2 linked regions of the Caenorhabditis elegans genome follow. The protein of the gene in region 1 interacts with the protein of each later gene in a pairwise test. Each region holds a gene or a part of one and is shown in the gene's direction. Other genes may lie near its edges.

Region 1 (7,780 bases):
AAAAAGTTACGTATTTTGTGAAATTAAAATATTTCTTCTTGAGTTAAAATTATTATTGCCATAATAATCATACTTGAGAGTAATAATTTCTACGCAAGACTTGATCAGCCAGCCAGCTTATAAAAGTTTAATAGTGAATCAATCTATCGTCTTATTCCTCATATTATTTTTTTTTAATTTTTTTGTAAAAATATGTTTCTAAAATTATATTAGGTCTCCAAATAAGTTCCGGGTCAAAAATCATTTTTAAAAAATCCGTCCAAAAAAATTTTTTTGGTTGGTCGTCAAAAAATCTTCGAAAAATCTAGATTTTTCCTACAAAAATGATGTAACCAATTATAAACTATTTTTACACATGCAAAAAATTTTATTATATTTTATGTTATCATTTTAGTGTGACAAACTAAACCCAAATGTTTTGTATGTGTAAAAGTAATTTACACTTGGTTACATCTTTCTTGTAGGAAAAATATAGAATTTTCGACAAAAAGTTTTTTGAAGATTTTTTGACGATCAAATTAAAAAATTTTTTTTTTGGACGGATTTTTTCTAAACTTTTGTTGTTTTCTAAAAATGTATTCTAAACAAAGCAAAATCCGCACACAAACCTCAATTCAAAGCTGAAAAGAAGCGAGATCAGAAAAATGCCTGAAAAAATTGCCTCCGAGTTAGGACACTTGGGGTGGTAAAAAATTTTTGTGACTATTGTCAAATGAAAGATCATGGTTGGTAACATACATCCCAAAGTTTCATAAAAATCGATACGCAGCGAACAAAGTTATGATTTTTGACCCGGAACTTATTTGGAGACCTAATAGTACTTGTGATACTAAATATAAATAAAATTATAGTACTTGTGACACTAAATATAAAAATATATAAATTCATAAACCTGCTGTTTTTATTCAGTTTCAAATAAGTATTCGAAAAAAAAGAACTTAGTTGAAAATGTCCAATTAATAGCGTGAAAAGCATTATTTTCCTGAAAGCTCATATTAGCTTTTGTTTCTTTTTGCGAATTAAATCTACCGGCAAAAAAATATTTGAAAATTTACAACCTTGATATATTTGCATAATTTTCAAGATTGTAAATAGTTTTGTCAGAAACAAACAGTTTTTGTCATCATCTTACATTCTTGGAATCAAAAAAATTGGATGAGGAAACCAAATGCCTGAGAGCAACAGCTGAAAAGTTTTGCCCTTGTGCTCAAACACACAAGAAAATAATGAGCGAGAAGCTATTGGAAACCTGATCCGTGTCCCGTTTTTTTTCCTATCCTCGTTCTCAATTCAGGAAAAAAACTAGAGGCAAGGCTTCTTCTGTTTCTCCTTCTATGTGCTTCTTCGATTGACTTGAAAGGTGTGAAGTATGTAAACTTGACCCAAAAATTTAGCTTATAAAAAAGAAGCTCAAAAGAAGGAAAAACGGCTCAGCTTTATCGCTGCTGTCGCTTCGTTCTTCTCACGGACGTACGTGTGTATGTGCGTATGTTTATAAGCTTCTTGGCTTAGAGGATATCGGAGGCGGAGACTATGTCTGGATTTGATACTTGTGCACCGCTTTTTAATTGGGCAATATGATACTCGCCACAAATCCGGGAAGCTCCTCCAACAGCTAACCAGGAGAGAAAAAGGAAGACGTGTAGTGGTTTTACCTCCGGCCATCTGATATTATTCTCTTCTAGAGTTCCATTTACTAAATATTTGAACTACTGATATTCTTACTCATAAACTTTTAAAATGAGCCTACGACCAAAGCAAAAGTCATCATCCACTTCGGTGTTCTTAAAGTCTCACAAGTTTTCGTTAACATCTCATATTTTAAGGTAAATATTTCTTTCACGTTTTCTGTTTCTGGTTAAATTAATTATTGTGTTGACGTTCAAAATTCTTGCCAATTCTTACCTCCCTGCATTAGTTTGTGTTATTCCATTCATCCCTTCATCATACCTCCTCCCATCTGCGATTTTCATTAAACCATTGTAAAAGATTTATTCTGGTGAAGGAAGGCAAAAAAGCGCGAGACGATGGATAGTGCAGAGCGTCGACGATCCGAGACCGATATTGGTGGTGGTCCCAGAAATAGCGCTGATGCTCGGCCGAGCCTCGATCTGTCGTCCGATCCTATGCTCGAGTCGAATCTTGCACTTCGTAAACTATCTGAAGCTTTCGGTAAGTCGTCAAAACTATTCAGTAGCATAGAAAAAAACACAAGTCCTTTGTATCCCTCTAATTTGTATTCTGACGTTTCATGTGGTTCTCAGGCGAGTGGTGTTTAGTACACACATGGGATAGGGCCCATTTTGGCGTGAAGAATGTAGTTAGGGGAAGTAATTTTTTAAAAATTATGAATTAAATCAATTAACTCTAAAAACATGTTCAAAACCTTCATCACTGATATTCTACATATTATGATTTTTTACCGTTTGCAGTTCATATTTCTTGTGTTTAACAATTTTACCGGTAGACGCAGGGTGACATCCTATATTATCAAATATGAAAAAGTAGTGTTAAAAATATTTGGAAGGTTTCTGTTTACCAAGATTATTTTTATTCAGGTTTGAGAAGAAGCAAAGTCTGAAAGTAAAGCCCTTTTCAACGGACTCATTATTTGAATATGATCTACAAAATATTATATTTTTCACTGTAGTTAGTAATGGTTAGCATATCTGTGTTAGTACGTGATTCTGATAACTTTGTAGTTGTTTCCGCAATTTCTCTCGCACTTTGAAAAACTATCTAATTAAAAGCACAACTGGGCAGCTGTGGCAGTTTTTTGAAAACTAGGTTCCTTTCTATCATCTTCACTCCCTATCTGTCAAAAATGCCCATTGATGAATCATTCAATTAAAATGTCCATAGTCGATTAACTGAGAAATCTGTTGCCATTTGCCTAAAATTGACGTCAGAAAACGCATTCAGAAAAAAAGGCGGTTGTCTGAAAAAAAGCTTCCATGTGACTGCTTCATTTTAAACTTTTTTGTTTGCTCTTTTCAATCGCAAGTGAGCCAAAATAGAATTAAACATCTCAGGGAAAAAACGACTAAATATAAAATTAGAAATTAGAATTGGGACATCACAATACATACCAACGCATTGGCATTGCAAAAAAACAAAAACCAGTTTCCTTTTGTCATTGATCTTCCAATTGACATTGATTGTATTTTAAGTTTCGAGAAAAAATTCTTTAGAATTTGAACATCATATGTTTTCCTTAAATTTTCATGAACAAATTTATCTTATGACTAAAGTTAATGTTTTTCAACATAGTGGTAGACTTAATTTGGAACAATGCTATGTATTAATTTGAGGAATTGTTAAAGATAAGAATGGATGTTGTAAAAACGCCAAAACAAAAAAGTGATGATAAACATAGTATGATAAACGTTTGATTAAACTTTTTTAATATGCAATTTCAACCATAATTTTTCGGAATGTTTTGTTATGATATTTAGCAATGTTGAACTATTAAAAATACGGGGTTAGGGTACTCCTCTTTTGAAGTTTTTAAGCTGGCTGATAGCGGGTATGAATTAAGGTATCGTTAAAAGAACATTAAATTCGCCGAACAGCTACACGGAAAACTTGAAAATTTATAAATTAATGTATTCTACCTTATATTAATCTCTAGTATCTAGTGCATTTATGAACACCTCCGCATTCTGTCATATGCCCATTTTAAAATTTCAGAAGTTAATTATCCAAATAATTCATAGTTTAATCGGCAACAAACATCGCACAATCGCCTTTTCACCGACATAATTTGTTTTTCTTCGCGTCTTTTTTACGAGACTGATCTTTTAAGTTCACATAATTTTACAAACGGGTATTTTTGATTTTGATAGTATGGAATTTTTTAAAGATGGGTTCAAAATCAGGCCACTCAGTCTTTTTGCAAAATTGCAACCAGATTGAATAAAAATCAGATTAGGGATCAAGAATTACAGGAAATAGGTGGGCGGAGTCAATCACGCACCAAGAAAAAACACAGGAGAAATGGAAATTGGAATGGGGGTGGGGTGGATGCGGCATCCATTGATGAGGAGTGAAACGGCGGCGGGGGCCTGTGGTCCCAACCCAAATTGTTCTATTTTTCATGTGCAGAACGACGCCATCAGCCTCGGCTTTTCATTTGCTAGGGTAGTCGTCGCTGCTTCTTCTCATTTCGGGACCTTAACCGAAAAAACGGGAGAAACGAGAGAAAACCTCCGTTTTTTTTCACGTTTGCTCACCGCCTCTAACTCATTTAGCTATCATCTGCTACCCTTTTCAAGCCCCGCCACCAAACGTCAGAAGCTCATTTGAAACATTTTATTAATTTTAATCTTGTACCACTTCATGGAAGTTCCACAAGCACAGTCTTTAGCGGCGGCTGCTCTAATCAGCCCTGTGAAAAACAATTCCACTGGTGGAGGTGGGAATCAACAACTTTGTATTCGAAAGTCTATATCAAACCCTTCTAGTCTAAAGGTTTACGCCCATCACGAGGCACCCGGTATCATACATTTTCCTAGATTTGAATTTTCTCATCGTCTATCTATCCGGCCATTGCTGAAAAGGCTTCACGAACAAGGTGAGCTATTCTACAAAACCTCCCAATTTGCTTCCTTTTTTGAAATTGATTACCAATGAAACACTTTTGAAACTGGCTTGGTATTGTTAGACGGAAATTTTGTTTGAAATCAGTGAGCAATATTTTTTAAAAAAAGTTTCTGAAGATACAGGTCCTAGTTGAAAAAAGGTCAAAACAATGTGAAGAGGGATTTGTTTTTCATCAGAAAATGTTTATTTTTATTAAGTACTATAAAACATTTGTTAGTTTATGTTTTTGAAATCTGACAGTATAAAAAGCCAATATAAAAATTAATATTGCAAATTATCCATGCAAAGTTAGCCCAACAAATAAATGTAGCTTTTCTCATTATGATTTTTTATTGATTTCTAAAATTTTTTAATATAAATTGCATTAACAGCAATCTTGTAAACAAAACAAACATAGTAGTGAAATTCCATTAAAATTCTTCCGTTCTTAAGAAAACAATAAATGGCAAAAAGTTTCTGAGGACCTCCAAGACAAAAGCATCTTCTGCCCGCATGTCCTATGACTATTGAAAAAGGGCGAAAATAAAAAAGTGACACAACCCAGTGTTTCCTGATAAAAATTGTTCATACCCTCCCATTTTCCCCTATTTCGCTTCCCACCATTCCCATGAAACGCGCATTTACGATTGTAAAAAACTTGCGACGTCGAATTTGTAGGTTTCTTGTTTTTTATGTTTTCAAGAGTAATCATTTTGTTCTTTAAAACATGCAAAAATAAAGTTAATCCTTAAAATGACCTCACGACACGGAAGCCAAACCCCATTTCATTTCAAAGTTTGCAACTATAGAAAACGAATACAAAAGGAGGGAGGGGAGGTTACACTAAGAAATAAAATGGTGGGGAAGATATAATTGCGCGGGGCTCGGAGAGCAAAACTCACCTATTTGATTCCCTTTTTCATGTTTGTCTTCGTTTCAGCTCAACGGATCGAAGGAAAAGCATTTGTTCGTCGTGGTGCACTTCGCCAGAAAAATGTGCATGAAATCAAGTGAGTTGATACCAAACTTTGAAACAAAACCCTCGTAAAAGTCAGCACTGTCCGTTTTCCTATCTTGGTTATTTGATAGCTGACATTTATTTTGACTGAAAAATTGAAAAAAAAAATTCTTTCATTATCTTTGAATATCATAGGTCTTTCAAATGAAAACAAAAATCAATATCTTGTTCTTGTTGCACAATTTTGATTCAAAGTTTAATTCTTATCAGATCGCACAAATTCATTGCAAGGTTTTTCAAACAGCCAACGTTCTGCTCACATTGCAAAGATTTCTTGTGGGGTATAACAAAACAGGGATTTCAGTGCCAAGGTAATTTATTGGAAATTTTATTTGATATTAATAATTATTTTCTTCTTAATTTGTATCCAATGCAATTCGAAACAAATGTTTATAAATCATAAAATGCGACTATAAAACAAGTTTGATAGATAAAGAGAACTCTGTTTTCAGTATGTACCCTTGTGGTACACAAGAGGTGTCACGAGTTTGTCAATTTCGCATGTCCAGGAGCAGATAAAGGAGTAGATACCGATGTAAGTTGTGCACTCTATCTTCTTTTTCTCTTCTTTTTTTATGACATCCATTCCTCAAACTTTTAATTTCAGGATCCTCGCCAGCAGCATAAATGGAAAGTTCAAACATACTCATCGCCGACGTTTTGCGATCATTGTGGCTCTTTGCTCTACGGTATTCTGCACCAAGGCATGAAGTGCCAATCTTGTGACACAAATGTGCATCACCGATGCGTCAAGAATGTGCCGAACATGTGTGGTACCGACAATACAGAGAAGAGAGGTAGACTACGAATTGAAGCACACATCGAGAATGATCAGTTAACCATTAAAAGTGAGTGGGGTGCAACGCAGGAAATTAAATGGAAATAGACAAAAAGATTGAAAGAATTGAACTTACGTTGTTCAATGATTCTCAGGAAAATAAATATTTTCATCAAAACTGCTAGAGTGTATAATTATCTTGATACACAACATTTGTTTTACAGTTCTGGAGGCGAAAAACTTGATTCCAATGGACCCCAATGGATTGTCTGACCCTTATGTGAAGTGCAAACTGATTCCGGAGGATTCGGGATGCAAGTCAAAACAGAAAACTAAAACATTGAGAGCTACTCTTAACCCTCAATGGAATGAAACTTTTACTTAGTAAGTCATTGTAACACTTTATTTAAAAATAAAACTTGGGTTTCAGTAAACTGCTACCAGGAGATAAGGATCGGCGGCTTTCTATTGAAGTTTGGGACTGGGATCGTACATCTCGAAATGACTTCATGGGAAGCTTGTCGTTTGGTATTTCAGAACTTATGAAGGAAGCAGCGTCCGGTTGGTACAAACTGCTCAGTGCGGAAGAAGGAGAATTCTACAATATCAACATCACACCTGAATACGACGAAGATATGGAAAAAGTGCGCAAGAAGATGAATGAAAACTTTGTAAGTATAAGTTCTAATGCAATTAGGTGTCTTTTATCGTTTTAGATCACACGAGACAACAGTTCTTCTAAGCCAAAAGACCCGGCTGCCCCAAGAGCTAGTACACTTCCTCTCGGCAGTTCCAATCACAACGTGATCAAGGCTTCTGACTTTAATTTCCTCACTGTTCTTGGAAAAGGATCGTTTGGAAAAGTGTTGCTTGGCGAACAAAAAACAACAAAAGAGCTGTTTGCGATCAAAGTGCTCAAGAAAGATGTGATTATTCAAGACGATGACGTGGAATGCACAATGACTGAGAAGCGCGTCCTTGCTCTTCCGGAAAAACCATCATTCCTTGTTGCTCTGCATTCGTGCTTCCAGACCATGGTCAGTGCGCATAACAGATTTATTGAAAAAAAGGGATCAAACATGTGGAAGTATTTAGATGTTAATAGATGTTCGAATTTGTAATACATTGTTGACATTCATCCACGTGTTTTTCCCTAGGTTATTGCAAATTATTCTGTAACAGTAAGTATGACATTGAAAATAATAATTGTTGGATAGATGGAATATAATATACATAAGTCCTGAAGGCACTTATTTTTGAATGAAAACTCTTCAAACCCCCAATCAAATCCGTATTTTGATGAATCTCTGTTTCAGGACCGTTTGTATTTCGTGATGGAATTTGTAAATGGTGGTGATCTGATGTATCAAATCCAGCAAGTTGGGAAATTCAAAGAACCAGTT
Region 2 (5,668 bases), on another chromosome or scaffold:
TTTGTGTAGAGGTTGGTGGGTGTTCATATAGATCGGAGAAAGAATGACGAAAAATGATTGACAAGAGAATACATATTTGGATTGGCTCACACCTGTATTAATTGAAGAAGATCAGTGAGCTAGCGAGGAAATTTGAATAACTTTTAAAAATAGCAAGAAAACTTCTAAAGATTATCATTGAAGAGGAGCAATTTTCTAGACGTTTTAGTTACAGTAATCCCTGTGTTACAGCAAATCTTGTCTCCTCTTCCAAAAAACCATTACAGTAATCATAAATATTGGAATTATTTGAAATCAACCAACAAAACTTGCAATTGAAAATTGTTAGAATCTATTTAGAAAGAAATAAAAACATCAAATATATGTTTACACCATGACGAGTCACTAAAACTAATCGAGTTGTTGACTGAAAGTAATTCAAAATCATCGTTCGGCGCCGTACATTCTGCTGGGTTTTCACACGTTCCTATTACATTGATAAGAACTTGAAATGTTTCAAAACATTGTTGAAGCTCGAAAGAAAATCGATGATGTGTGTGTTGCTTCTAGGGACAGCTTTTCCTCACTCAGCTGTGAAATGCTCTTCTTCTCCTTCTCTTACTTCTTTTCTCCAACTATTTTCACATTTTTCCCCTCATGAGTTACTAGACACAAATTTTGAATAAAATTTCTCTATTTATAATATTTATATTTTCAGGCTGGAAGAGCTATTCGTCCAATCAACAAGAAGCATCTACTCGGAGAATAATTGGAAGAATTGTTAATTTTTTGTTGATTTTTTAAAAAAACTTTATTGTTGGTTTTCTCTCTTTGAAGTGTCACCTGAAATGTTCGTTGTTGTTAATTTTATATGTTTTCTTTACGGTGAAAGTTTAATTGAGACCATTTTCTCATTATTTTCTCAATTTTACATTTCCTGTAATTCTTTAAATGAAAAACAAATTTTTTAAAAAATAATTCAATTATAATCAGTTTTTTCGTTATGGTGGATATCCCCAGCAATTTATTTGAAATTTGAAAATATAATTTTTGTTGTTAAAATAATATTTTGAAAAAGTTGGCAACGAAACCCAAAGTTTTGAAATTTTGAAATAAAAATCTCAAAAAAATGTCTGCTTTTCGCTTTCGAAAGTATTTAAAATTTAATTTTTTAGGGTATTTCTCTATTTAATCATGTCTCATTAAAATCAACATTAAATATTGAACTATTCTTCATTTTTCCAGATATTTTCTAGAATTGTTTTTTTTTATTTTTAAAAACATTTTTTGTCGGTTAAAAACCACTAAAGATTTTGAAAAAAAAATTTTCCATACTTCAATTTTTTAATAAACGAAAAATTTGGTTTAAAAAAATCTGAAAACACTGCAACAACAAGTTTTTCTGACAAATTTCTCACAAGAACCTGCACCTTCACTATTTTTGAGAAAATAAACCCCAAAACGTTTTTTTTTTCGATGTTCAGTTTTAACCAAAAAAAAAAGGTTTTGATTTTTTTAAATTCGAACAAAAATTTATATTTTTCGGTTTTGAAAGAAGAAGTGAATCTCGGTGATCAGCACGGAATGGCACATGCTCTCAGAGAGATACAAGCACACAGTATTCTCATGAAAAATCGTTTGTAAAGCTGCCCCATCCACGCCCAATTCTCATCGCCAGTCAGCTTTTTCTCCACTTTTCGTTTGCTCTTTTCCGTGTGCTCACTCACTCACCCTGCGCCTCTTCTGATTCAGCGTCTGTGTCTCTTATAATTCAACACTTTTTCCACTATTTTTAATACCCCGGGCGGTTTGTGTGACCAATGCTGGCCAAAAAGTACACGTGTCTTTTGCCGTTCTTTTAAATTTGAATATGCTGCATTCAGACATTGATTTTTATGTTTTGAGAAATGTTTTACAACGTCTTACCCTTTCTAAACCCTGCAAAACGCCATTTTCCGCACTAAACTAACTGATGATGAATATGCGTTTACAACCAATCAAAAACATTCGTTTTGAAACAGACCAATCAAGAAACTCTTGAACTTTTTGTTTTCCTATAGATCGGTTGATAAGCATACTTTTTACAGCTGGAAAATCATTTAAATGTTCTTAACATTTGCCTTAAACATTTTTAAATTCCCTATAAATTCTCAAATCGAATAACAAAAATTTCAGAAATGCTGCGGTGGTTATCCCTACTTCTATTCTGTCCGGCTCTACTGAATGCTGAAGTTGTTTCATTGACATCACAAAACTTCGAGCAAACTATTCGTGAGCTGTCTTCAACTATCTATGGAAAATATGCTAATTATCATGTTTCAGAAGCAAATGAACTCGTTTTCGTGAATTTCTACGCAGATTGGTGCCGCTTCTCGCAGATGTTGAAACCCATTTTCTTGGAAGCTTCGGAAAAGTTCAAAGATGCGGCTCCGGGCAAGATTATGTGGGCTTCAGTGGATGCTGATAAGAACAGTGAGTAATAAATTGGAATAATTCATTTATTTTTATGAAATTCAGACGACATTGCCACAAAATATCATGTTAATAAATATCCAACTCTGAAGTTGTTCAGAAATGGAGAAGCCGCGAAAAGAGAGTACAGGTTAGTTGCTTAATTTTAATTTGTTTTTTTTTTAAATTTAAAGTTAATAAAAATATATAAAAATTTATAATTTTGTTCAAAAATTTTCTTATAAAGATTTGGCAAACTGTCGAACTTTTAATAAATGTGCAGAGTTCTAACCTCTACACCTCCTCCTTCTCCTCCTCTACACCTCTACACTCTGAGAAAATTTTTTTTGGTCAAATTCCAAAATTATAATATGTGAAACTAAAAATTAAGATATTTCAAAAATTTGTTTTACTATGATATTAGGACATTTTAGCACTATAGGCTGCAATTTTACACAACTTTTTTTATTGACGATACACTTATTTTTTTCAAAAAAATTATTTTAAATTTTGAATTTCAGAAGTTCCCGATCCGTGGAGGCTCTTAGCGAATTCATCAATAAACAAATGGAAGTTACAGTGAAGAAGTTTATTGAGAAAAATGCACTTCAAGCTGCGCATAATGTGAGTTTCACTGAAAATATTTGAAAAACCAAAATAAATTTTCTATTGTGGCAAAAAGAAGGTTTCAAAACTAAAAAAGTATATTTTTCAGCCAGAAAAGAACACATTTATTGGATATTTCCATGATGAAAACAGTGTCGAGTACAAGAATCTCATGAACGTGGCAATGTTTTATCGTGATGAATGTGAATTTATGGTTGGAATCGGAGATTTGAACTTCCCTGGAGAGGCACCGGCTGCTGGTCAACCACCGAAACTCGTTTTCCAGCCATCTAATAAGGCTGTGAATCCAGCACAGATTCCATTCTCTGGAGATTTTGCCACTTATGAATATCTCAAGTTAGTAAAAGTTATGAAAAATTTAGTTTTTCTCATCGCAATGGTAGTTTGTCTTACTTGAAAAATATTCTCACATTGAACCTGAAAAAATGAAAAGCTGAAGAAAAAACCCAAATTTAAGCTTTTTCGGTGATTTCTTAAATTCCCACGCGTTCTAAAAAAGAGCTATCACCAAAAAAAAACATTTTCTGTTCGGTTTTTTGGGTTAAAAATAATTTAATTTCTTCACAAATCTTTTTTAAAAATACAAAAAAATATCTTTAAAAAATATCTCATGTTTCAAAATATTAAAACTTTTTTTTTGTTAAGAAAAAACAAAGGTTAACCAATTTTCGACAAAAAAAAACTCGATAAAATTTAAAAAGGGGCAAGGAACCAATTTCGAGCCGAGGAGACTGTAAAAAAAATAATTATTGTAAAATTAAATTTTCAGACAATGGGTTGCTGACAAATGTGTGCCATTAGTTCGTGAAATCACATTCCAAAATGCAGAAGAATTGACTGAAGAAGGACTTCCATTTATGATTCTTTTCAAGAAATCTGATGATAAAGTCAGTGAGAAGATCTTCACTGATGCAATTGTTCGAGAACTTCCTGATCAGAGAAAAGGTATTTTATTCGAGTTTTTTTAGATTTTAAAATGAATAATTTCAGCAATTAACTGCTTGGTCGGTGATGGAACAATCTTCAAGCATCCACTCAGTCACTTGGGTAAATCGGAATCCGATCTTCCAGTCATTGCAATTGATTCTTTCCGACATATGTATTTATTCAAGAATTTCGAAGATGTCAAGTAAGATCTGGAAAATGGATTATATAAACAAACAAAATTATTTCAGCGTCCCCGGAAAACTCCGCGAATTCGTGCTCGATCTGCACAGCGGAAAGCTTCATCGCGAATTCCACCATGGTCCAGATCCAGTGGTAAGTGTCACTTTTTGGGAGTTTTTTGGTTTTTGAAATTTTTATGAAATTTATTGAAAAGTTAGTAAACGAATTTTTTTTTATTATCTGAACCAGACTTTTTTCTATACCACCTTTAAAAAAGTCTCTAAAAATCCTTGAAAAATGTAAAATTACAAATTTCATGAGATTTTCAGGACGGAAAATCCCTCAAATTGGGAATTTTCTATGAAAAAAAAACAAAATAAATGAAGCTTTAACTGAAAATTGAAAAAAAAACTCCGAATTATTAGAAGATTTAAAAAAAATTATGGTTGGGATGATTTTTTCTAAATATTTTTCCCAGACGCGAAATGTTGTGCTTTTTCCGTCAAAAATACGGTAAACGGGTCTCGAAACGACAAATTTTTGTCAAATGTGAAAAGGTATGCGCCTTTAAAGATTACTGTAATTTAAAATTAGTTGCTGCGGTTTTTTATTGATTTTTCTTTTTTTTTCTCGATTTGAAAAAAATTATTAAAAAATTATTGTTATATCTGATTTTTTTTTAAAATAAATTTCCTTTTCTGATCGAAAAGTCAATAAAAAATTCAAGAAAAAATAAATCTTGAAATTACAGTACTCTTTAAAGGCGCGCACCTTTTGTATTTTTCAAAAATTTGCCTTTTCGAGATTCGGTACCGTATTTTTATTGAAAAAATTGCAGTACTTATTTCCAAAGACCATATTTACAATTTTCGTAAGACATTTCAGACTGGAAATCAAGCACCGGACACTGAGCCACCACCGTCTACATTCGAGAAGTTGAAGCCTGCTTCTTCGAGATACACAATTCTTGACAAAACGGAACTTTAATTTCTTTGATTTTTCATTTTTGTTTATAACAGAGCTTTATATCACAATTGCAACATGGCCTTGTTTTGCATTTCTCTGGTGTTCTTTTTTTTTAATTTTCAGTTTTATTCGGTCAATTTTCCATTGGTTTTGGTTTTATTTCTTGGTTTCTACGAGGTCCCCCCACACACAACTATTTAATCCCCGATTTCCACAAAAAACTATACATTACTATGTTATTCCATCGGATTGTTGTTCTTTTGCCAATCAAAATCCATTTCTTTCCTATTCATCTCTCTGAAAGTTTTAGTCAATTCCTGTCTGTGATGCGCGGTTTTATTCTTCGTTTTCCCATGTCTCTATCCCTGTCTTTTTTTTGTTTTTAGATTCAATTTTATTTCAAAAATTTTTTGAATCTTAAATTCAAAAACAATCAACAATGTTAACAGAAACGAATGAATATATTTATTCTTTCTATTTCTTCAATAACCTTTTTGTTTTGGCGGTTAAATGGATTCAATCCGATTCATCTACTTGT

The links.
Region 2: the proteins of pkc-2 (region 1) and erp-44.1 interact in a two-hybrid assay, tested with the Caenorhabditis elegans proteins (one large-scale study listed by BioGRID).

What each region holds. Positions count from the first base shown.
Region 1 is NC_003284.9:9,374,531-9,382,310, forward strand, and holds the start of pkc-2 (Protein kinase C-like 2), read left to right. Parts: upstream 1-1,740; coding exon 1,741-1,826; intron 1,827-2,005; coding exon 2,006-2,172; intron 2,173-4,034; exon of another isoform or gene 4,035-4,165; intron 4,166-5,521; coding exon 5,522-5,591; intron 5,592-5,809; coding exon 5,810-5,910; intron 5,911-6,051; coding exon 6,052-6,134; intron 6,135-6,206; coding exon 6,207-6,447; intron 6,448-6,601; coding exon 6,602-6,761; intron 6,762-6,807; coding exon 6,808-7,048; intron 7,049-7,093; coding exon 7,094-7,414; intron 7,415-7,693; coding exon 7,694-7,780. UniProt on the Caenorhabditis elegans protein: PKC is activated by diacylglycerol which in turn phosphorylates a range of cellular proteins. PKC also serves as the receptor for phorbol esters, a class of tumor promoters.
Region 2 is NC_003279.8:5,416,588-5,422,255, reverse strand, and holds erp-44.1 (Thioredoxin domain-containing protein), read left to right. Parts: upstream 1-1,563; coding exon 1,564-1,615; intron 1,616-2,154; coding exon 2,155-2,250; intron 2,251-2,301; coding exon 2,302-2,451; intron 2,452-2,496; coding exon 2,497-2,581; intron 2,582-2,951; coding exon 2,952-3,054; intron 3,055-3,145; coding exon 3,146-3,393; intron 3,394-3,826; coding exon 3,827-4,002; intron 4,003-4,047; coding exon 4,048-4,186; intron 4,187-4,232; coding exon 4,233-4,317; intron 4,318-5,049; coding exon 5,050-5,151; downstream 5,152-5,668. Other genes in the region: utp-14 (Small-subunit processome), read left to right, coding at 698-748.